Linked DNA regions of Kluyveromyces lactis. The protein of the gene in region 2 interacts with the protein of the main gene of each other region in a pairwise test. Links are inferred from orthologs where the notes say so. Each region holds a gene or a part of one and is shown on either strand. Other genes may lie near its edges.

Evidence for each region.
Region 1: the proteins of KLLA0_E14257g (region 2) and NOP53 interact in binary tests that used the Saccharomyces cerevisiae proteins (3 or more experiments, as listed by UniProt). The link is inferred for Kluyveromyces lactis from reciprocal best matches to the Saccharomyces cerevisiae genes LOC1 and NOP53.
Region 3: the proteins of KLLA0_E14257g (region 2) and PRP43 interact in binary tests that used the Saccharomyces cerevisiae proteins (3 or more experiments, as listed by UniProt). The link is inferred for Kluyveromyces lactis from reciprocal best matches to the Saccharomyces cerevisiae genes LOC1 and PRP43.
Region 4: the proteins of KLLA0_E14257g (region 2) and MAK21 interact in binary tests that used the Saccharomyces cerevisiae proteins (3 or more experiments, as listed by UniProt). The link is inferred for Kluyveromyces lactis from reciprocal best matches to the Saccharomyces cerevisiae genes LOC1 and MAK21.
Region 5: the proteins of KLLA0_E14257g (region 2) and NUG1 interact in binary tests that used the Saccharomyces cerevisiae proteins (3 or more experiments, as listed by UniProt). The link is inferred for Kluyveromyces lactis from reciprocal best matches to the Saccharomyces cerevisiae genes LOC1 and NUG1.
Region 6: the proteins of KLLA0_E14257g (region 2) and FPR3 interact in binary tests that used the Saccharomyces cerevisiae proteins (3 or more experiments, as listed by UniProt). The link is inferred for Kluyveromyces lactis from reciprocal best matches to the Saccharomyces cerevisiae genes LOC1 and FPR3.
Region 7: the proteins of KLLA0_E14257g (region 2) and MAK5 interact in binary tests that used the Saccharomyces cerevisiae proteins (3 or more experiments, as listed by UniProt). The link is inferred for Kluyveromyces lactis from reciprocal best matches to the Saccharomyces cerevisiae genes LOC1 and MAK5.

What each region holds. Positions count from the first base shown.
Region 1 is NC_006042.1:1,055,269-1,058,260, forward strand, and holds NOP53 (Nop53p), read right to left. Parts: upstream 1,836-2,992; coding exon 501-1,835; downstream 1-500. Other genes in the region: ATP-binding cassette long-chain fatty acid transporter PXA1, read left to right, coding at 1-260; HPR1 (Hpr1p), read right to left, coding at 2,259-2,992. UniProt on the Saccharomyces cerevisiae protein: Late-acting factor in the nuclear maturation of 60S ribosomal subunits, which is required for normal acquisition of export competence. Required for the export of the large subunit.
Region 2 is NC_006041.1:1,262,119-1,264,373, reverse strand, and holds KLLA0_E14257g (Loc1p), read left to right. Parts: upstream 1-1,131; coding exon 1,132-1,755; downstream 1,756-2,255. UniProt on the Saccharomyces cerevisiae protein: Required for efficient assembly and nuclear export of the 60S ribosomal subunit. Involved in asymmetric localization of ASH1 mRNA.
Region 3 is NC_006038.1:40,901-45,083, reverse strand, and holds PRP43 (DEAH-box ATP-dependent RNA helicase PRP43), read right to left. Parts: upstream 2,801-4,183; coding exon 497-2,800; downstream 1-496. Other genes in the region: KLLA0_B00583g (protein kinase subunit beta), read left to right, coding at 1-265; protein kinase COQ8, read left to right, coding at 3,347-4,183. UniProt on the Saccharomyces cerevisiae protein: Pre-mRNA processing factor involved in disassembly of spliceosomes after the release of mature mRNA.
Region 4 is NC_006041.1:1,108,069-1,112,022, forward strand, and holds the start of MAK21 (RNA-binding ribosome biosynthesis protein MAK21), read right to left. Parts: upstream 2,801-3,954; coding exon 1-2,800.
Region 5 is NC_006040.1:1,173,577-1,177,039, forward strand, and holds NUG1 (RNA-binding GTPase NUG1), read right to left. Parts: upstream 2,094-3,463; coding exon 501-2,093; downstream 1-500. Other genes in the region: PAC2 (Pac2p), read right to left, coding at 1-125; SUA7 (transcription factor TFIIB), read left to right, coding at 3,025-3,463. UniProt on the Saccharomyces cerevisiae protein: GTPase required for 60S ribosomal subunit export to the cytoplasm.
Region 6 is NC_006038.1:421,074-424,109, reverse strand, and holds FPR3 (peptidylprolyl isomerase FPR3), read left to right. Parts: upstream 1-1,279; coding exon 1,280-2,536; downstream 2,537-3,036. Other genes in the region: RPL6A (60S ribosomal protein eL6), read left to right, coding at 186-704. UniProt on the Saccharomyces cerevisiae protein: Proline isomerase that belongs to an abundant class of enzymes that catalyze the cis-trans isomerization of X-Pro peptide bonds and can accelerate the refolding of proline-containing polypeptides. Specifically binds nuclear localization sequences.
Region 7 is NC_006039.1:966,658-970,870, forward strand, and holds MAK5 (ATP-dependent RNA helicase), read right to left. Parts: upstream 2,801-4,213; coding exon 410-2,800; downstream 1-409. Other genes in the region: SUP45 (translation termination factor eRF1), read left to right, coding at 1-183; BMT2 (25S rRNA (adenine2142-N1)-methyltransferase), read left to right, coding at 3,132-4,196. UniProt on the Saccharomyces cerevisiae protein: ATP-binding RNA helicase involved in the biogenesis of 60S ribosomal subunits and is required for the normal formation of 25S and 5.8S rRNAs. Required for the maintenance of dsRNA killer plasmid.

The DNA.
Region 1 (2,992 bases), on a different chromosome or scaffold from region 2:
TGGAAGATCATCTTTTTACCATGTTGAAGAGATACAGATTCAACTTCATATCCATCTCTCAACGCCCGTCTTTGATAAAATACCATGACTACCTATTGGAATTGACTAACGGAACTGATTGGAGCCTACAGGCATTAGGGTCAGACGAAGCTATTTTATCAATCGAAAATGAGATTGAAACCCTAAACCAAAAGCTAACAAAGGTAAAAGAATGGGAAAGGCAGAGAGATGAACTACAGGCAAAGTTGACATTGGTGTGAAAAATTGGTTTGAAAATTTAAATCTGCCAAGTCAAATGAACTATTCTTGGTGTGTAGTTCAATCAGTAGTAAAAGTGTCGGATATTGTATTCATTACTATTATATAATATAATCACAGAGTTAATGAATCTATTAATATTTTGCTCTATATAAATTATGCAAGAAAAGCACAGGTACGTCTGTGTATTTTATTGTACAAATGGTACGGAATGATGTATAGAAAGAAAAGAGCAAATTAATCTATTTGAAGTCCTTGTAAGTCCATTTCTCAGTGACTCTTGGTTTATATCTTCTACCTTTTCTAATAGGGATACGAGATTCTACCCTACCAGAACTTTGTAATGCTCTCACAGTGTCATATAGCAGATTACCTTCTGGTCTTAATTTTCTTAATGAATCTGATAGTTCATCTGAGAATTTCACCTCTAAATTGTCTTCCATGACGGAATGTTTAGTACCAAGCTTATGCTTCTTGTTCTTTTTAACTTTTCCGGCTGTAGAGACCGGATTTGGGACGGTGGATTCCACTTCCTGCTGAATTTCCTCTAATTTTTCAAGTTTGAGAACCTTTTCCTTCAATTTCTTTAATTCTTGCTGAAGTTTGACTTTTTCTTCGTGTCTTCTTTGTTTATTTCTCTGATATTTCGTTTTCTTTTTATTCTTAGTTGCTGGATTCAGAGACAACTTAGTCTCTTCTCCCTCTTCTGAAAGGTCTTTATCATCAAGTTCTGATTCATTTTCTTCTTCTGAATCGGAGTCCTCTTCCTCCTTATCTTCAATAGTATCCATCAAGTGTTGAATTCGTTGTTTATATTGTTCTAAAGCTATCCTGCGCTGTTCATTTATCAGCTCACCCTCATATTCAGTACTTATAAGAGCCTCCCATTCTTCTTTGCTTGGATTATATGACTTTCCTGCATGTGGAATGACATCTCTTTCTTTGACAATTTCTGGCACGCGAGCAATGGAATCCGGCTTAACAGTTGCGACGGACCAACTAGTTGTAGACTGTTTTAAGAATCCATTTGGAAGTTTCTCTACTTCTTCTGGTGCTATCTTAAGCTTCAGTCCAGATGGTACTTTAACCTCCTTACCAGCATCTTCGCCCCATAAATCAAGGGATCCTGACTTCACAAGACCTTCTTTTGCAACTCTTGCTTTCAACTTACTTTCACCAATTTTTTTACCAGCTAAAGCAAGTAATCTGTCCAGTTCTTTCTTTGATACCCCTTGGATCTTATCATGTTTCTTGTTAGCAGTCTTTGGGTTGGTTAGAGCAGGCACTTTGGATTTAGACTTGATAGACTCCAAAATCTCGGTTGACTTCAGAGTTTTCTTGATTGCTTTCCTCTTCACTAATTTCTGCTTTAAAACTTGGTCACCCTCAGTATCAACCGCAAAAAGCGCATCATCGCTAAGTTCTGTCAAATTCTGCTTACCATGAGTAGTCTCAAGGATCTGCTTCTCTTCGAGCTTGCGTTCCACATCGCTTATATCAATATTCTTTCTCCATGCCTTCTTACCTTTACGAGAAGATTGTTTGTACTGAGCTGGTCTGTCCTTAGATCCCGCCATAACTAACTATTTTGTCTGTTTGTTTGAGGTGGATTGTCCTGAATAGTATGGTAAGGATTAGTAAAACGATACGCCAGTCCCCGAGTATTAATTGTGTACTTGAATTCATCTCATCGCATCGCATCTCATCTCTTTTTTTTTTTTTCATCTTATTGGCATCGGATTGTCTAAATGAAAAATTGACATAAAAAAAAAGAAATATGATTATTCTCCGGGTAACATTCACTTTCGAAGCAAAGTAAAGGATATCGATTCATAATAGACAAGGAGATAGCTGTCGAATGTCAATTAGGAGAGGAATAGTCTAGAATCGTGTGATATTGATAAGTAACATCTGTAATTGATAAAATAAATGATTCTTCAATCGAATTATATGCTATATATTTGAACGGATGTCTGAAAAAATATTACTGTATTGTTAGCCTACTCCGTGTGGGAGCTTCCTTCATGTTCTTTCGGCACCTCTACTTCTGTTTCTGTACTTTCTATTGTTTTAAGCTCTGTTGGTTCAGATTCAAGCGCTTTTTCCTTTTGAGCCTCAGCGTCAGCATCTGGTTCTTCAACTTCTTCCTCAAGTTTTTGTTTCTTCGAAACAGCTTGTTCTTCTTCATTCCCGTCAGCCTCTGGACTATCGTGTCTTCTCTTTAGTGAATCATTATCTTGATCATCAGGCGAAGTTGTTTTATCATTTTTTCCATTTTCCAGAGTTTCTCTTTGACTTTTTATCTTCGCTTGAAGTAGATCTTTCCTTTCTTGTTCCTTGTCTTTGAAAAACTGTTCAGCCTCGGCGACTTGTTCGGAATGTTTCTTCTTTTTTGACTCTATTCTTTCGGCTAGCCGTCTTTTCTTAGATTCGATATCATTCCTAATGAGTTCTTCATTGGCGAACCCCGCCAGAGTAGTTTTTTCGCTGACCTTATTAAACTCAAACAAGTATTTCGGCCTCAAAGATCTTAGATTCTGCCATTGTTTTACTATGACATTATCAGTAGTGGTTTCATCACCATCAGTTTTTTCAGTTTTATCCTTGTATTCGGATATTATAGTGTCATATAGTTCTGAGGGATCTTGTCTATTGTTTTCTGAATACTTTCTCGCTAAATCTAAGCCTGATTGCACTTTCCATAGACCGTCTAATTTCTTATTGCCGAGTTTAA
Region 2 (2,255 bases):
AATTAAGAGCTTCGCATGTGTTATGTAAACTATTTATGATGTTCTTTGGTTCTTCTTCGATATTCTTCTTGGTATATGCCGTCTAACATACATATAAATGTAGAACAATGATAGATATATCGTCAAATTCGAATGGAAGAATTCGATGAAGAAAACTCTATTTATATATTTTCGGGATTTGTTGATCAATAACAATATGCTATCGTATAGATCCTAGTTCATAGCGGCTCCAGTAGTATATTTACTGCTTCTGAAAAAAAAATGACACCTTAGAAGTTCTCTCACAACTCCATACAATAACATCTCCACTACCTTCTTCCCGGCTTAATTTTTTAATATTTATTATTAATTTCCTATTGAAACAGAAAATATATTTATTTTTCGGAATAGTAAAACTATACAATATTTTAAAATAAATTGAATTAAGTTTTATTTAAATTAAATAGATAATTATAAAAAAAGTAAAAATTTATTTATTTCTATTATGAGAAAATTAATAGATATTTTCTCTAGAAAAATAAAAGAAGAATTAAAACTAATTTGAAATTATATTTTATTTGCACGTGATATATATACATCACTTTGTTCACTACTGTCTTGTTTAATATACAACATAACTATATGGATTATCATTATTATTACTATACTTAAAAAGACAATTGAAAGAAAAACTAATATCATTCGGATATCTGACATTTAAACTCCAGCACAGTGTACCTATATTACCTTATACTAGTCGTGAGTTGTGTACTCTGTATCATCTTATTGTTTCTGATCATTTATTCATTTTCTATCATTATTATATTTTTTTATATTTTTTTATCTAATTTAATTTATTCTATTTTATTTTAATTGTTTATTCTATTTTTTCACATTGACATGCAGGAATTCAAGAAATAAAGTGTTACCAAGCGAAAAGAAATAAAAATAAAACTTTTCGATGATGAATTGAGCTCATCTCATCGCTTTGGTAGAACACTATCACAACTACTACAAAAGCACAACTGGACTTGAATTTATACCTCTGGGTACGCTGTCTACTAGTTAAACCGCGAGACAAGTCTGAATTTACAATAATCAGACTTATAGAAGAAAAATCCTTGACGCATAACAATCCATCGAACTTGAAAGATGGCTCCCAAACAATCAAAAACGGCTAAGAGATCCAAGAAACAAAATGGAACGAGGGAAGTAAGATCAGAAGTATTCGAGGACTCTATTGCCAAAAATCAAATGGCAAACGTGCCTAAAATGACTGAAAAATCTGATACCAAGAAACCAACCAAGTTACAGGTGAAGAAGGATAATTTCAAAGCACGTCTATATGGTAGCCAGAAGAAGAAGGAAAGACGCTATACCGAGAAAGAATTAAATATTCCAACACTTAATAGAGCGATTGTACCTGGTGTAAAAATCAAAAAGGGTAAAAAGGGGAAGAAGTTCATCGGTGATCATGATTTAATAGCGTTAAACAGATTAATCAAAACGATAGGTGATAAAAATGATGAAATAACAGAGAGCAAATTAGAGAAGACAAGGAGACTCGAAGAAATTCGTGATCTAAAGAGACAAGAAATGGAAAGAAAAGAAACCGAAAAGAAGGAACAACTAGAGGGTAAGAAAGATGAAATCAAGAAGAAGGCATCCGTTGCCAGAACTATTCGTAGGAAAACCAAAAGGCAAGAACTGAAACAAGAGACATTAGCAGCTCAGTCTGAACCTATCAAGAAGAAGAAATCTGTCAGCTTTGCATAGTTAATACATCAATTTATATATGCATATGTGTGTATGTAAATGGAGGAATCGATAACCTTTTAGCATCGATCATGTGACTAAACATATTAAAAACATTAGATTACCGTTACTGTAACAACTGGAGTTAATCAGCGTTTCAGCCTCAACACAATTTTGGTGTCAGCAGCTGTTCAAAGATTCGGATATGAGGGCGCATGTGTGTATCCGGCTGCCATGTCGGTCTTCTATTTTCTAGTCATTGTTGATGATGAGAGAACAGAGACATTTCAACGTTGTTGGGGACTTCCATACAATGCAGATTGAAAAGTGGGACATTCTTACGATTCTGAAGCCAGATGATAAAAAAAAAAAAAAAGAAAACTGACGCTGCTCTGCCAGATACCGTTATTGACAAGATGCTTTCAGCTGGTAAACACAAGCACCATTTTTTTTTACGTGACTTAACTATTCTGAGTTCATCTAGTATTCTGGTAAAGCAACGGTCAAAAACTCATCCCTTC
Region 3 (4,183 bases), on a different chromosome or scaffold from region 2:
CCAGCAACAGAACAATCAACAAAATATGTCATGGTTAACTCCTCCACAACTTCCACCTCAGTTGGAGAATGTTATTCTCAATAATTACAACAAAAATGCTGAACCAGGTAGTGAAAATAATTCAGGTGCGTTGCCAATTCCTAACCACGTCGTTCTTAATCATTTAGCAACGTCTTCTATTAAACATAATACTTTATGTGTTGCTAGCATCGTTAGATACAAAAGAAAATATGCAACACAGATACTATATGCGCCATTGCAATGAAACCACTCCTAGAGATTTGATTTTATATTTTTTACACTGAAATATCATAAGCGAAGTTCTTATGGGTTGAATATAAAACGTACACCATACCGAATTTCAATAAAATGCAGCAAAAAAAACGTAGACTTTGAGTCGCGTGCTAATAATACCGCACAATACTTCTACAATAAGACTTATCATGCTGATTCTAAGGTTAATCTTATTATATAAGTTACACATCTATATGCTTGGTTATTTCTTAGACTTTTTAGATTTCGCACTTTTTTTTTTTTCTTGTTGTAGCTCCACCATTTTATCGAGCTTTTGCTTTACCCTTTCTAACGATAGTTTAATGTCACCTTTTTGGAAGTGATCGAGGTCATAATAAGCTGGTGCTAATTCTATTAACCATTCAGGTCTAACTGATGTTACAGTTCTAATGTAGTTTTTGGAGGTTAGAACGAATTCATTGTATACAACCCATTCGGCATCATGGCCCAAAACAGTTGAAGGATGTATCAAAACATCTTGGTTATCTTTGACTGTGATATAACCTTTTCCGCCAGATCGTTTTTTTGCGACCTGCATAAAGAAGCCTGCAGCTAACGCTTTTCTAATGTTATCGAAATATCTAGGGGAGTCATAATCTGTAGTGTTCAACTCGAGATTGTAACGAACCATCAACCTTTCCAATTGGTTGCGGATGTTGTCAGCAGCAGATAGAGATCTATAATTTAAAAAGTTGTCGCGGCACCACTTGTTGATCCCGTACTCATAAGCTTCGTCTGACTTGAATGCATGGTAGACATTCAATAATGTTAGGTGGTCGCCATCAGGATGTGCAAATATGTTCTTTGCGTCATCTGATCTTTTCTTATCTTTCGAAGGACGAATGAAAACACTAGGTACGGATAACATGGCGACAATCGTTAGCATCTCTTCGGAACAAGAAAATTCGGGGGATCCAATCAACATTACCGCAAGCATTGGATCAAGAGGGAATTGAGAAGCCAATCTACCCAAAGGTGTTAAATTACCATCGTCATCTAAACATGCCAAAAAGTTTAATTCTTCTAAGGCTCTCATCATAGTTTCTGGGGCAGGAGGGTCCATGAAATCGAAATGCACCAAATCGTCAATGCCTAGTTTCTTTAGTTCTAAGACTGTCGAAGAAAGATTACTACGGAGAATTTCAGGATATGATTGCTCGATAAGTTCCTTTTTGAAAGCTTCTTCAGTATATAGTCTGAAACACTTACCAGGTCTGGTACGACCAGCTCTACCAGCTCTTTGTTGAGCTGATGCCTTTGAAATTGGAGAGACCAAAAGGGATTCAACTCTAATTCTTGGGTTGTAAACTTTTTGCTTAGAGAAACCAGGATCAACAACATACACAATACCGTCAATAGTCAAAGAGGTTTCTGCAATATTAGTAGATACAATGACTTTTCTACCAGGTCTTCCATTATGGGATTCAGGAGCAGGTTCAAAAATGCGCTGTTGTTGATGTGGAGGCAAAGAACCGTATAATGGATATACAGAGATAGGACCACAACCTTGCTCTCTAATTAACTGATCCCCTTCTAATGATATTTTCCTTACAGCATCTTCAATCTCATCTTCACCGGTTAAGAATAACAAAATGTCACCCTTCTCCTCCGTAGCATGGATCTGTAAAACAGTTCTTATAGCACTATCCAAATAATCTCTTTGGAATTCTGGTGTATAGTAGATCTCCACTGGATGTGTCCTACCAGGGACAGCTAAAAGTGGCGCCTTATTAAAGTATCTTTGGAATTTCTCAGCATCTAAAGTAGCAGACATGATAATAATCTTCAAATCAGGTCTACGATCAATAACCTGTTTCAAAAGACCCATCAAGATATCTGTTGCCAAAGTACGTTCGTGTGCTTCATCTAAAATGATACAAGAGTAACGTTTCAAGTCATGGTCTTCCATGGCTTCTCTTAACAACATACCATCAGTCATATATTTCAAGATAGTTTTATTAGAGGTCTTATTTTCGAATCTAATGGAATAACCAACTTCTTCGCCTAGTTTGACGTCCATTTCTTCAGCAACTCTCTGTGCCACAGACATGGCAGCAACCCTACGAGGCTGCGTACAAGCAACTTGAGTATTTTGTAAATGTGGCATTTCATCGAACAGCACAAATTGAGGAATTTGAGTGGTCTTACCGGAACCCGTTTCACCAACAAAAACCATGATCTGGTTTTCTTGATAGATCTTCAAGAATTCATCTCTTTGAGCGTGCACTGGCAAGTCTCTTCTTACCTTTAGAATACCGAAATATTTCTCTGATAGTGAGCCACCAGTGAATGGATTAACTGATCCATTTTCCAATCTTTCGGCATCGGCCGCAGTAGTGTGATGGCGTTGCATCCCGCTGAACTCACCAGAATCATGATGAATTAAAGGCTCTGCTGCTGGTGGAGGGTGATCTTTGGTTAATTTTTCTGCGATTTCAGCTGCATGCTCCGGAATAGAAGTCTCAACAGCAGACACATGCTCGTTTGAAAACCTTCTTTTGCCCATCGTCAATTACTCAACGTTTGATGTTTTGCAACTGGTAATGCGAATAATCTCTAACGGAGTAAACCAAACTCAGCAGTAGTATCTAATATTCAGGGGATTTTATAACCACTTAACCTACTATCTCTAGTATTGAACTACACTAGATGAGATGAGATGAGATGAGCTTAATGTTACAATTTGCATTAAAATTTTTAAAAAAGAAAAAACTACACGTCCATATGTCAAAATCGCAATTCCATCATTACCCGGATAACAAAGGTTAGAATGGCAAGAGCAAGCAAGCAAACAAGCATCTATTTGAAATTCAAAAGATGGATTATTCTGCAAGATATCTGTACGATTCGACTCTCTCATGAAATAAGGAAAGGTAATAAAGTAAAGACAGAGTCTTAATCCATTCTTATTACGCTGTATATTCATGAATTTGACCATTGACTCGTAGTATCATTGGATAGATCAAATACTTTCACCCTTTATTTTTGATCTTGTGATATCTGATAGTTCTTCGGCTGAATTAATTGATATCGAGAAGTATCGCTGTATTCAATGTCGAGAAAAGGGCTATATCAAGCTATCTGTTTATCAGAGTCCTTCTGCAACGTGGTAAAAAATTCTGCCTCGATTGGTAGACAGTCTCTTGATATTTGGCTAAAAACTTCCACTTTGACAAGACCGGTACTGTCTAAATTTCAATGGTTTTACGACAAGGACTGGGAACATGCCCGTAAACTTTCTGAATCCGTCAGAAAATCTACGAAAGGGCACTCTTCTAAAAAAGCACACCTTAGCAAGTGCTCAGTCAAGAACAAAAAAAATGTGAGACATTTTTCATCTTATCACAGGTGTTCTAATAAAGCAGCTGACGCTATTCCAGAGGATAAATTGGTGAACAAACAAAAGGCTAATAAACTGGAAAGTTCAGAAGTCCCTTCATCACGTATCTCTCGGCTTTTTCATTACGGCCACCTAGCTGCTAGTGTGGGTATTTCTGCTGCATCTCAAAGTATCACTCAGCTGAGTCGTGGCCAATCATCAAGTTTTAAAGATTTACTGTTATCAGATTCTAATGTTGAAAGGATTGCAAATAAATTCTCTCAAATGAGAGGAGCAGCATTAAAGTTGGGCCAACTAATGTCATTCCAGGATGAGAAGGTTTTACCTCCGCAATTATACACGATACTTTCAAGAGTTCAGAACAGTGCTAATTATATGCCTCCAAGACAGTTGGACAGGCTACTGGCTAGAGAATTGAGTTCTGATTGGGAAAAGAAATTCAAGAGTTTCGACAGGACTCCTATCGCTGCAGCAAGCATTGGTCAAGTTCATAATGCTGTTTTGCACAACGGCGAGGAATGTGTCGTGAAGATACAATATCCAGGAGTC
Region 4 (3,954 bases), about 150 kb from region 2:
GATCGAAGTCACTGATGTCTTCTGGTTCACCTTCTTCAGCTTCAAGATCAGCTTCTGATGCCTCATCTTCGTCTCCCGAAGATGCAAGGTCTTTGAGATCAATATCGACATCTTCGGATGACGATCCGAAATCATCCTGTGAGAAATCGTCCTCACTGAACTCAACATCGCTGTCCTCTTCGTCACCTTCGACGTCAGGTCTTGACTTCACTAAAGCATCCCAAATTTCATCTTCGTCCAAATCGCTTTCCTCGTCGAATTCAGCTGTACCGTTTTCATCCTCTGCACCTGACTTGGTAGATTTGATGGCATTAGTCTTTGTAGAGAAATATTGATAGAAGAACTTTTCATCTGGCTTGATATCTTGCACCTTCTTACTTAACCAGTTCTCCGTGTTAGCAGGTACTTCGTGCAATGTGGTATCGCTGGCCTTCACTAATAACGAACCAGTGTGTACACCTCCCAAAGGTTGCATGATAGATGAACCTCTAGTGGTTGGCTTTTGCTTGGCGTTACGGTACACGAATCTATCCAAGAAATGGGCTAACGTGAATAGGCCAAGATCGGGTTTGACTAACTCTCTTGTTTCTTGAGTGTCACCGTCGAAGAACCCTTGTGCGTACGACTGCACAGTAGGATGGAAATGGGACAAGAATTGATTTATCTCCCAAAGCGATGAATTTTCAGCGTTGGCATATTTTGGATCACGTTTACGGCTATCGTAACCAGGTTTTTCCTTAGTTTTATCCCTGGAATCTTCGTCATCAGATTCGTAAACAGAGTCTAGTGGTGAGTTGATTAGAACATTTCTGATCTGCGGTAAACTCTTTGAAAGTTGTATCAACAAAAAGAACATACCACTAATGGCACCGATGTTCAACCAATGGGCACAGACTTGCAATATACGTTTTACGAAAGCATCCACTCTTCCAATGTCTTTATCATCTTTCAAAGATTTGTAAAGCAAGTTTAAGTAAATACCTTGCTTCGATGACGACACCAATCTTGGGTCGAGTAGGGATTCGTATAATGTCTTGTAATATCTATCACTTGTGATGTTTGTCTTCACGACAACCTGGTGAATCAATACTAATGCTTGAATTGAAGTGTTGAAATTAGACGCATGTGTTATCTTGAACAATGTATCAAGATGTATCTCGTACACGGATCCCGGCATATCAGAGAATGGGAAAGCACGATTCAAACCAGTTAGAATAGCACCGAATAATTTGGTATTTTTTTCCTCGATAACTTCTTGAGCACTTTTTTCTTCAATGACAGACTTACCACCCTTTTTACCCTTCTTGAAGTTCTTCTTTCTCTTCTTTTCATATGACTTATCGGATTCCTTGATTTCACTCTTTGATTCCTCGTTATCAGCATCAGTTTGGATTAAGAATTTCTCGAATAAAGTGAAATAGGTCTTGATTAGCTGATTTGCTAGATTCTTCTCGGAGCGTTTCAAAATTGTTTGATTAAGTGTCAATGCGGAATAGTATGTAGTATGATAGTCAGCTTGAGGCCTTATGGCAATATCGACAACAGCGTCTACCACAATTGATTTCATATTTGGATGTTGAGTTTCAAGTTTCAAAAGTTTGAAGGAAGCCTTTGACGCTACTTTGTTATCAATGTCACCTAATTTGTTAACACCAAGTTTCAACAAGTTGAATTCCTGTTCTGGTTTGGCTGTTAGCAGGTCAAAGATATGTGTTAGCACTTGCATTCTGACATAGATGATAGGATCATGGGATAATTTCTCAAAGATTTCCAAAATCTTGAAATATAGACCCTTCAAGTAATCCTCAAAATATAAAATAGCTAAAGTTCTCTTATTCAGTAGCATGGAAAGGTTTTGGTTCTTGAAGTATTTTAACTTGCGGTCAGGTAACAGACCATTTAAGAACAAATCCTTCAGAGCATTCAAAGCTTGTAATGCGGAATTTCTTGACTTCTTCCCGCAAAAGGATATCAAAGAATCAAGAGATTTGATATTATGCAATGGAGATTCCTGTAGCAATAAAGTCAAAGCACTAATTTTATCGTTCAACGTACCATCGCTTAAGATCTGGGACATAAACTTACGTTGAGATGAGTTCTTGGTAAATTCTTCGTAGTAATTAGTGTTATCTAATTCTAAGGCCTCTTTACCACGCTGGTATAACTTATCTATCTGTTCTTTCGTTAGCGGATCCTGTTCTCTTGTTAATTCAGGGTCCAAAGGAACTTCGTACCACAACAAATCTGATGGAACAAGTAATTTATCACTTTGAACAATATGAGTTTGAGTGATCATGTCGGATTGATCTTCCTTTTTTTTTTCTGCTGGTTTAGGACTAAGTGGTTCCTCCTCTTTCTCTACCGTCTCTTCTTCTTCTTCTTCTTCAACTTCTACCTCCTCCTCTTCAATATCTTTCTCTTCTTTGCCTGCATCCTCAGTAACTGTTGGTTCTTCTACAACTTCAGGTTCAGGTAGTTTATCGAATCCCATATTCTTCAATAAAGCACTGAAATCGCTCTTAAACTCGTCATCAACTTCTTCATCGGCTTCATTGAATTCAATCTCACTGGCATCGTCGTCAACACCATCAACAAGCTGGACATCTTTTTCAGAGGCTCCAAGAGACAGAGCTTCACGGATCAATTCTTCATTGGTGACAGCAGTTTCCTCTTTAGCTGGAGTAACGTCTGTCTCTTTTTCGCCCTGCTTCTTACTCTTCTTAGGCTTAGTGTCTTTGGCCTTTGAAGCTCCCAATTTGGAGGACACTTTCTCCTTCAATTTGGATAAATCAAGACTCATTCCAGATTTGCACTTGTTATCGAGTGTTGCTTCTTTCCAAGCAATAGATCAATCAAACGACAAACAGAGAAGTGGCCTCTGTGTATATCAACAAACACAGTCTGAGCGCATAATAAGAGTTGAGATGAGATGAGATGAGATGAGATGAGATGAGCTTGATTTTGGTGTAAAGGTAGAAAATTTTTGTCGTTTCTTTTCATCACGTGATTAACGATTATCCGGGTAATGAGTTTGTCTCTCTCGTTTAGTATTTACAAAAGCATTCTATGTAGTAGTGAGACCAAGAAGCGGGGAATCTGCTTGTCACATGGTTTGCCGAGAGCGTTACGAGCCAATGGACATGCTCAGGAGTAGGTAAAGCGTGAAAGTAAGTTGAATCAAAAGTTGCACAATGTATGTACTTCCCTCAAGTATCCGCCTCTCTGCATTGGAATTTCTTTACTGGAATCAATCCCAATTAAAGAATGTTTTTTGGGACCTCGCCATTACCCGCACAAACGACGTGCATGGTGGAAGCCAATGGTGCCATTAGTTGCCAATGGTGCATGCATCAATAAGCATTGACACACATACATATACATTCTTGGGGCAGAAATAGACGTGCATTTGCATGAATTGATTGGAAACTCATGGTTTCAGATGCACCAGCTCGAGGTGAACAAGGTAAGTTACGTATTGAGAACAACTCTTGGTAAAGGAATACTTCTACTATACTTCTTCTTCTTTTCATTGTGCATACAAGAGAAGAGGTTCAAGTCGAGTTGATTACCTCGAAATACAAGGTGTAGTTTTAGAGGGACATTAGGGTCATAGATACGAACCCATTGACCTGCCTAAAAATAACTCAAACTTGTACATTTCAAAAGTTGAATAAGACAAACGAGATTTTCTTTCTAAGTAGCGATAGCGAAGAATATCTATATATTCGTAAGACAATGACAATTGGTATCCTAATGAATGGACAAAGGAAACGTATAAAAAAATAACTGCAATGGCATTTGTCTTTGTGTTTTTTCTGATTTTCATCATCATTTCACTGAAATGAAAATAAAAATAGAGTGCTAATGGTAATAATGGCGTGATAAAAGTAATAAGATGATAAAGCTGATCCTTATGATATGGGAACAATGATGGCAATTGACGGGGAAGATAAA
Region 5 (3,463 bases), on a different chromosome or scaffold from region 2:
CTTTGCTTGTTGTCCCACTCTAAACCATATGCAACGATATTAGGCCATTCTGGCAATGATCCGATGTATCGTACTGTGCAAAACTCACCTCCTATATTCAATCTATCATTGACATTGATCTGCATATTTGGCCCTAGATTTAGTCACGCTGTACACATAGTGTAGCCTGGAGTTCGTATGGTAGACTCACGGATTATTTCTCTTCTTCACTCTTTTAAACATTTTGATTTTAGTAGGCATTTAAAGTATTATTTAAAGGTTTGTTACCTAAAGAAAAGAGATGACAAAAACGTCTTGCCGAAGAAGATATTAAATCATTTATATGTAGTAGTGTACAAATGTGTATTGTCTATTAGGTGCGTGGACTGAAACGGGTGTTCAAATTCACATCCTAATACATAAGCTTTTAAATCTATAGCTTTAACGATGCGAAATAAAATAAGCAATAGGATCCTTGATCGTATTTCATAGAGATGCAGAATAATTCGTTTTCTGTGTTCTCAATTACCTAAGTTGTCTTGTTCAGCTTCAATGGCGTTATCCAATGACGCGAAAAGACCATCCAAATCGAATTCCTTGGACCATTCTTGAACAATGGTCGTTTGTTCCACCTTAGCTGGTGCTGCGACAGCACCAGTACCTAGAGTTGGTTGGTTAGCTTCACCAGATGTAGCAGCATGTTCTGCAGCAGATTCCTTAGAAGCATTGGGTAGAACCCATCCTAGGATCTTACCATCTCTCCAATCGTTAAGAACGGATATACCAGCGCTGGCCAAGTTTGGAACACCGCCCTTACCTAATCTACCTCTCTTACGGGCGATATGGATCAAGAATTGTTTGGTGAAAGAGTCTGCATCGGCAGCTGGGATAGGTGGTAATTCGTACAACTTCTTGAAACTTTCAGTCATTTCTTCAGATTTAGAAAGTCTCTTCACTAATTTGAGCACAGCTGGGTAAGGATCTATGATGAATTTTGGAGGTAGAGCGTTCAACAAGGCCAACTCTGCTTCTTGTTCCACTCTACTCATCTTTTTATTTTCACTTGGGAAACAAATACCTGGAGAATCCAAGATCTTTAGCTTGTTATCTACCTTGACTTCTCTCATAGATGTAGTGACACCAGCTTGGTTACCCACTGGACATGCTTTAGAAGAACCACCACGGCGAGAGGTCAATGCGTTAATGACAGACGACTTACCGACGTTTGGATAACCGATGACACCAACAACGATGGATCTCTTCAAGTTTGAATTATTGGAGTAAGTCTTCAAAGCTTCTAACAAGCTTGAAGCAGTTGTAGCCTGAGTCAAAGTCCTGTTGAAAGATGTGGAGTTAGTGGCACCAGGAGCAGCTCTCAATGGAATAGTAGGGAACGAGGATTTCAAAAAGGTTAACCATTGTTGCAACACGTATGGTGGCACTAAATCGATCTTGTTCAAGATCAAAATTAGTCTCTTACCCTGGGATTGAAGCACGGCCTGTTCCACTCTTCTCGATCTAGTTCCTTCTGGATCTCTTGCATCTAGCACGTAAAGGATAACATCGGACGCATCCACCACAGTCTTGAATATCTTATCGTAAGCCTTTCTAGACTTTTCTAATTCAGAATCATCATCATCTGCGTCAGCGTAAAAGTCTACGTCGTATTCAGCAACCTCTAAATCCTCTTGCTCTCCATTCATTGTATCATCGATACCTTCCCCATTGTACTCCTTTGCAGCTTGCTGAGCGGATTCTAACAAAGCAGAAAGACCATTGTTGCCGTCGTTTTCATCTTCATCCATAGATTCATCGTCATCACCAACATCTTCACCTAGTTCACGAGTTCTTCTCTTAGCCTCTAACCTTTCCTGCTTTCTACGTTCTTTCTCCTCCAAATCAGTTCTTCTCTTCGCTTCAATCTCTTCGATGATCCTGTTCTTGTACGGGAAATTGGCCGGAATACCTGGATCCTTACTCTTATTGGATTTCCATGTCACATCCTTCTTAGCAAGTTTCCGCTCTTTCCTATGTTGAGCAGCAGCCTTCTTCTTGATACCCTCCTTCATACGAGTGGAAGTTCTCTTGGAAGTTCTCTTTCTTACTCTCACCATCTCTTTTGATTAATGGAAAAAGGTATATTTACTGCACTGGATTATAGATATCTTAGCTGTTCCGGTGAACTTATCACGGAAAACAGTACTGAAACATCTACTTGAACAGGTGTTCTGTAAATATCAAGTCTCATCTCATCTCATCTCATCTCATCGCAGGTTTTAACATATTTCGAAGAGCTGAAAAATTTCAAAGTAGAAAAGAATTTCTTTTTGCTGGCGGACGACAGTGGAAACACAGTGGATACTCGTCAATTACGAGGCAATCTTATGCTACTCGCAAGCCATAATTTGTGTCAATAATATTTGGGACGTATTTGGTATATCTATGAGCACTTCCAGGCAGATATTTAACATTATATATACAGTAATACCGTCAAGGGCAGTGAAACTGTCAGTACATATAAAGGCAGCCCAGTAGCCGTTGCGCAGTTTTTTTTGACACTAGCAGGGAACAAAAATCATCTCAGTAATAAGAACTGATATAACGTGATATACGATACGAAGTTGCGAGGGTGGAACTTGTTTTACCACATCTCTCATCCTCTCTACTTCCAGTCAGTGTAGTAATAACTGCGAAGTTATTACTTGTTACCCGGATCTCGTGAAAATTTTCATCAACCGTAAACAAGAGACATGCCACGGTTGTTTCTGTGGCGTTTATCACGTGATATATATTTCCGTCGAGTTTCCAGCATTTTTGCTTAGAAATTGAGAAACTAAAATGATAAGGAGCTATCCAGTTGCAACTTACACAGTCTTGTCCGTCTACTAGTTGGTTAATCGGTATTTCTTCTGTTCTTTTATAACAAAAGCAGCGCCTAAGTTTAGTTATCTTAGCGGCTCATCATTCGACTTCTTACCGTTCAGTTTCCAGCTATTTTTTTAGGCTGTTCTGAGTCATATACCGAGGCAAGAGAAAAGAGAAACTATGTCATTGCCAGCAGCAGCTTCAGCAAATGTAGCTGTCTCATCTAGAAGGAGGGGGCCAAATTTGAACATTGTTATATCGTGTCCCGAATGTAAAGTTTATCCTCCGAAAGTTGTGGAACGGTTTAGTGAAGGTGATATCGTCTGTGCATTATGTGGGTTAGTCTTATCGGATAGAATTGTGGATACCAGGTCAGAATGGCGTACTTTTAGCAATGACGATCAGAATGGAGACGATCCAAGTCGTGTTGGTGAAGCTTCAAATCCTTTGTTGGATGGAAACCATTTAACCACACGTATCGGGCAGGCCCAGGGAAGTGATGCTAGAGTTACTAGGGATTTGAATAGGGCTCAGTCGAAATCTATCGTTGACAAGAAGGATAACGAGTTGCAAGCTGCATATGCGAAGATTACTATGATGTGTGATGCTGCAGAACTGC
Region 6 (3,036 bases), on a different chromosome or scaffold from region 2:
ATTTTATGGAGAAGAAGTTAACATGTTTTCATCCATTACTCTTAGTTTTGTTACATACAGCCGAACTCATGTGAGATAATGGAATTGAAACTGTGGGTTTCCTTCTCTATACACGGGCATAACTCGATAAAATATTGTTTTCAGTTTTACTAACAACGAATTTTTCAATTCAATTTTCAATACAGGCTCAAAAGTGGTATCCAGCTGAAGAAGTCCCAGCTCCAAAGCAAACCAGAAAGGCCGCTAGACCACAAAAGTTGCGTGCCTCCTTGGTCCCAGGTACCGTCTTGATTTTGTTGGCTGGTCGTTTCAGAGGTAAGAGAGTTGTCTACTTGAAGCACTTGGAAGACAACACCTTGTTGGTTTCCGGTCCATTCAAGGTTAACGGTGTTCCATTGAGAAGAGTCAACGCTCGTTACGTCATTGCTACCTCTACCAGAGTCTCCTTGGAAGGTGTTAACACTGAAAAGTTCAACGTCGCTTACTTCTCCAGAGAAAAGTTGTCAAGAAAGCAAAGAGCTGAAGCCAACTTCTTCAACGAAGACCAACCAAAGAAGGAAATCAAGGCTGAAAGAATCGAAGACCAAAAGAACATCGATAAGGCTTTGTTGGCTGAAATCAAGAAGACCCCATTGTTGAAGCAATACTTGGCTGCTACTTTCTCTTTGAAGAACGGTGACAGACCTCACTTGTTGAAATTCTAAGAAAGCGAAAAACAATTCAAAACTTTAAGCTACTTTGTTATATAATATTAACATAACTTTTATATCTTAAGGGTGTATTAAATCCCTTTCTAGTGTTTGCAACGTCGTCATCCCCACAACCTTATTCTATAAGGACAATTGATTGTAACAATTGGTTTGAACTACTTTTGCCTAAGAGTCTCTGCTATATATTCATGACTGTTTTGCAGACACACCAGTTAACACTATAACCAACGTGTGTACCCTGTCTGACGACCCTTTCGAACGATGTATTTCAATATGTCTTGTACCCTAAGCGGAGGTCGATAAAACTCATCACGTGCAGAAAAGAAACGTCGAATCTTCTCTACATAAAGTTCGTTTCTTTTGGAAAATTTTCAGAATTTGGAATAGTTAAGGTTGTGAAAGAAATAAGAGATGGACGCCATATAAGAGAGATGAGATGAGATGAATTACATTAGGTAGAGTCTTCTTGAGTGGAAGAACCTTTTTCATAGAGGTTTAGTTCGTATATTTTTTTGTAGACATATACCCACAGATTAAGAAAACTCTCATTCTAACTGAATAGCATAACAATGTCTGACCTATTACCTTTAGCTGCTTACAATTTGAACATCGAGCCATACACTCCAACCCCGGCCATTGATGTTACCACGCCTGTTACCGTGCGTATCACCATGGCTGCTATCGATCCAGAAGCTTTGGATGATGAGAAGAACCCATCTACTTTGAGAATTATCAAGAGAAACCCAGACTACGACGATGAAGATGATGCTGGTGGTTTGTTGGGTGATTACGACGAAGATGAATTAGACATTTCCGAAGAGGAAGAAGAAGAGGAGGAAAAGTCAAAGTCTAAGAAGGGTAAGGGTAAGGGTAAGTCCAAGAAGCAAGAAGAGGAAGAGGAAGAGGAAGAGGAAGATGAAGATGAAGGCGATGAAGAACTTATCGAAATTGACACCGATGACGAATTCCAAGAATTCGTCCTAGCGACTTTGTCACCAAAGACTCAATATCAACAATCTTTGGATATTGTAATTGCTCCAGAAGAAGAAGTTCAATTCATTGTTACTGGTTCTTACCGTGTTTCTCTAACCGGTAACTATGTCAAGCACCCATTCGATGCACCAGGTTACGATGACGAAGATGACGATGAAGAAGACGATGAAAGCTACGATGAAGATGAAGACGACTATCTAACCCCGGATGAAGAAGCTGATCTGGAAGAGTTAGAAGATGCTAGCGACGTTGAAGCTAAGATCCAAGAGCTTGTCGAAAAAGAACAATCTAAGTCTAAGAAGAACAACAAGAGAAAGCAACCAGAACCAGAAGAGGAAGAGGAAGAGGAAGAGGAAGAGGAAGAGGAACAAAAGCTAGTTGAAGAAACTAAAAAGAACAAGAAGGCTAAGAAAGAAAAGAAGGTTGAATTCAAGAAAGACCTAGAAGAAGGACCAACCAAGAAAGAAGAAAAGAAGGAAGAAAAGAAAGAAAAGCCAAAGACCAAGGTGCTTGAAGGTGGTATCATCATCGAAGACCGTGTCACTGGTAAGGGTAAGGCTTGCAAGAAGGGCTCCAAGGTCGGTATGAGATACATTGGTAAGCTAAAGAATGGTAAGGTCTTTGACAAGAACACCAGCGGTAAACCATTCGTTTTCAACTTGGGCCGTGGTGAAGTCATCAAAGGTTGGGATATCGGTGTTGCCGGTATGGCCGTCGGTGGTGAACGTAGAATCGTCATCCCTGCTCCATATGCGTACGGTAAACAAGCTCTTCCAGGTATTCCAGCTAACTCCGAATTGACTTTCGACGTTAAGTTGGTCTCTTTGAAATAAATGGAAAAGGATATATAATCGGCATACATATTACTCCTTCATAAATACTTACTTTAAATCAAAAAAATAACATTCTGAAAGGTGACAGTTGACGTTCCCAATGGAGAAAATGCTCTCACTCACAAATTTCTTGGTTTTGATATCTTAGATAGGCTTACTTCTCATTTTTTATAAAATCTCAACGAACTTGAAACTAAACTAGCCCTAAAACAAACCACATTTTAAGGAGAAGGAAAGGACGAAGACACCAGAAGTTGGTCAAACAACAATAATTTACGGACATTCTGATTTACATCCTTATTGACTGCAACCTGTTAAGGCGATTAGTGAACTGAAGGTTAATTGAAAGAGACTATAACTACCGTTTTGCGTGCAATTTGTAATAATTCTATTCTGAAACAGGAAATTTTTGTGAGCTAGCCGCTGAAGATTAAAACAGCAAACAAAAACAATAAAGGAAGGGAACAAAAAACCCGCTCCAATTGTGCACATAGTTAATC
Region 7 (4,213 bases), on a different chromosome or scaffold from region 2:
AACTACGGTGCCAATCTAGAATTCATTACCGATAAATCCTCTGAAGGTGCTCAATTCGTTACTGGTTTCGGTGGTATTGGTGCGCTACTTCGTTATAAAGTCAACTTCGAACAATTGATGGAAGATTCAGATGATGAATATTATGATGAAAATGAAGATGATGATGACTACGATTTCATTTAAACCTCTTCAGTCAAGCGATGTATAAATAGTGTTTATAAATATATATCTTTCTTTTCATTCTTTTCTTTATCATAAGTATCACCAAGATATATTTGATTAAGTTGTATTTGCAAGACATTACATATTTTTCATGCAATTCAAACATTCTTCACACTCCGACAACGACTGTTGTATTGGGAATATATATGTTTTCCTATTTTTATTTCTCTATAGCAGATAAAGGGCTTCATTTATGCTTCTTGCCCTTGAGTGTTTGCAATGCATCCACTTTATCATGTCCAATAATGGAATTGTGACCTTTATGTTTGACTAAAGTGTCAGCGAGATTGGTCAGACCTCCTGTTAGATAGCTTTTTCTTAAATCTTTTCTTAGTGGCATTTTTAATAACTCGTTGAGCTGGTATTTTAGAGCCTTATTTTCATTCTTTTCCAACTGTTTATTCAACTTTTTGGTTTTGTTTCTAGCTAAAAATTGGTCCTTTTCCTCTTCTTCTGAATCTAATTCAATATCCAATTCTTCAGCAGCCTTTTTTAACCAATTATCATCCTTATGTAGTGATTTCGTTGCTATCTCATCATCAGCAAGTTCGCTCGCTATCTTGCTTCTTTCTCTCAGCTGAGAAACGATGTCAGGCTCAAGTGGTAACATTGGGACATCATTCTGCCATTTTGTTTTCCTGGGGTTACTACTCTTCTTGGTAGATAACACCTTTCTGAGCTTTCTTAAAGGTCCCATGGATTCCTGTGGTGAACAAATCATGACAGAAACACCTTCATTATCACCACGGGCTGTTCTTCCACTTCTGTGGATATATACGTCAGCACTGCGGGGTAAGTGATAGTGTAAAACATGTTTGATACCCGAGATGTCCAATCCTCTAGCAGCGACGTCACTAGCAATTAAAATTGTTGGTTTTCCTACCTTGCTATTTTTCTCTGATTGTTCTTTGAACTTTTCAAGGTTCCTAAGACGATTTTTTTGAGCCATTGATGAATGGATCTGGAATGACGAAATCTTTAGATTGTTTAAAAATGCATTCAACTTTTTGACGCTATCTATAGCGTTACAAAATACTAAAGTTGTGCCAGGATACATCATGATAAAGTAGTAGACATATAAGTCACGCTCCATTGGCAAACATTCTATCAGGGATTCTTTGACCTGAGATGTAACTTTATGTTCAGGATTAGTATCGATAATAACTGGCTTAGATTTGAATTGAATTTTCTTCATCAAATGATTTAAAACTTGTTCCATTTCATTGTTCTCCCCACCGGCTGTTTTAAGGATTTTCCATGAAGTTTTATCTAATTTCGTGAAAAGATCCAATGAAAATGTGGCAGAGAAAATCATTGTTTGCCATCCACTTCCAGTTGGCTTTCCGTCGATACTTGTTTTAATTTTTCGGGCTTTCCCTAATAACTTCAAAATTTTCTCGAATTCATCGAAATGTCCGTCTTGTAGTAGTCTGTCTGCCTCATCAAGAACTAAAGTGTCAATTTTGGCAAACCTAGGAATCAGATCTGGGTTCCTTTCTAATAATTCCAAAAATCTACCAGGAGTTGCCACAATGATTCTACCAGAACCATCATATTTTAAGATACGTTCTTGTTTCTGAATCGACAAACCACCTGTTAGTGAAAGAATCGTGTACTTGTTAAGCTTATTCATTTTCGTCCAAACCTTTTGCAAATGGTCAGTTACTTGATGGGCCAATTCTCTAGTTGGGGTAAATATCAAGCCGATAGACCTATCATTTGATGTGTCTTTAATTAATTGTTCAATGATAGGAATACCATATGCTAAAGTCTTACCGGAACCTGTGCTAGCCTTACCCATGATATTATGTCCTTTCAGAGCTAAAGGAATAGATTTCAATTGAATTTCTGTAGGCCTGGTGAAGCCAAGCCCAGAGAGTCCTTTCAGCACTGTGAATGAGAGATCCATATTTTCGGACCACTCAGGAAGTACTGGAGGCTCTTGATCATCGATATCGACGTTAGAGGAAAATACGTTGCTCTGTAATAAGTCATCATTTGTTTGATCTTCAGTGACAACAGTACCTGCTTCCCCCTTAACATTTTCCTTCTCGGATCTTTCTTCTTCTTGATCTTCTGCTTCTTCTCCCTCTTCTCCTTCTTCTTCAGTGGACACATGGAACTCGCTCTCTTCATCATCCGAAGCTGCACTTAACTCACCCTCCTTGATATCGTCAAAATTCTTGAATTCAATTAATTCATCCATGTTGACATCTTCATCATCCTCTTGGAAAACGATATTATCCTTTTCCTCCACTTGCTCCGGCTCTTTCTTAACGTTCTTGTTATCTTTCGTGATGAACTGGACTTTACCGTCGACAACTTTCACATCCACACCATCGATTTCTTCTAATCCGTAGAAACCACCGAAATCATCTAAAGTATCTGGAATATCAACACTCTTCCAATTCAACTCATTAGCATTAACAGTGATATCTGTAGTGGCTACTTTCTTAAGGCTATTCTTATTAACCTTCTTCTTTGAATGATTCTTTGAAATACGGTCTTTCCTATCACTTTTAACAGGCTTCAAGTTCTTGCGATTCTTATTCGCCATTTTTGAAACACCGTATACCATTATTATTTCTGTCCTTTTCTTATACAGAATGAGGTCGACAACAATTAATTACCGAGAAACTTATTGTTCATGCACACGTATGCTGGTATCTCTTCTATCTCATCTCATCTCATCTCTTGGAGCTTCTTTCTCAAGATTTTCTAGAAAGTCGAAAAGAAACGATTCTATTTATGTTACCCGGATATGTCTTAAAAACTGTCCAACTCTTACATAACCGTCTGGTAAACATGATGGTATTGAAGCGAGATGAGCATCTCTCAACAAAACAGGTAAGGGCCACTCGGGTTATAACCCTCAACTTATACGTGAAAAATCTTATTACGTTGTTCCAATGCTCTCTCGAAGAAAGAGGACCATAACTGGAAAACCTGTTGCGAAACATGTACCGAAGATCAAACCTTCCAAGGCCAGGAAGATAATTAGACGTTTCCATCTATTGATTCAGAAGAGAAGAGTGATATGCAACAAGCTGCGATGTGATATAGTAGAAAACGATGAAGAGGCCAACGCTATTAATATTGAGAATTTTTTCCGAAAGAATAAAACTTTACAGGAAGATTTTAATAAGGGCAAAAAGTCTAGACGACCAAATCCAAGATTAGAGGAATTACTTGTTCATGTGCAAAGCATTGAACACAGTCAGCAATTATGTCAAATTCTTGGTTATATATGTGGAGAAATTGAAGAAGATGGCGGTTTGCAGAATTACCAATTTGCTAGTACAGTTGGTCAGGATTCCAACAGAGGTGGTGATTCATCTAAACAATTGGTAAAGTGGTGCAAAGAACTCGGGGTGGATAAAGCTCTGGGTATGAATGCGTTGGAATTGGGATCCCTTAGTGCGAAAAATCATATTTCTGTGTGTGGTCTCTTTAATCCCGTTGTTAGGATTGATCTTAACTCAAATGATACTGTAAATATTGAAAGGCAGGATTTCATGAAAAGACCATTACCAAAGGATGAATCGCAGAGATTTGACCTGATATCATGCTCACTTGTATTGAATTTCGTGCCGACACCCCTTCAAAGAGGCCAAATGATACTTCGATTCAAACAGTTTCTGAAATGTAACAAGAAAACGTATTTGTTTCTAGTTATACCTCTACCTTGCTTGACGAACTCAAGATACATGACTAAAGACAGATTCAATGAAATCATGCATGCGCTAGGGTATAGAAAAATAAGATTTAAAGAAGCAAAGAAGGTGGCTTATTGGCTTTACGAACTCGAACAATCTGAAAACACAATGTGTTCCTCACAAAATATGAACCAATTCGCCAAAAAAGCAAAATTATTGGACAAACCAGGCATGAACAACTTTTCAATTACATTTCCAAACAGGCAACCTTCCCATCAAGGCATTTATACAACGACCAAGCCCCTGTTCTCTAGGTAATAACGGCGGTATCTATG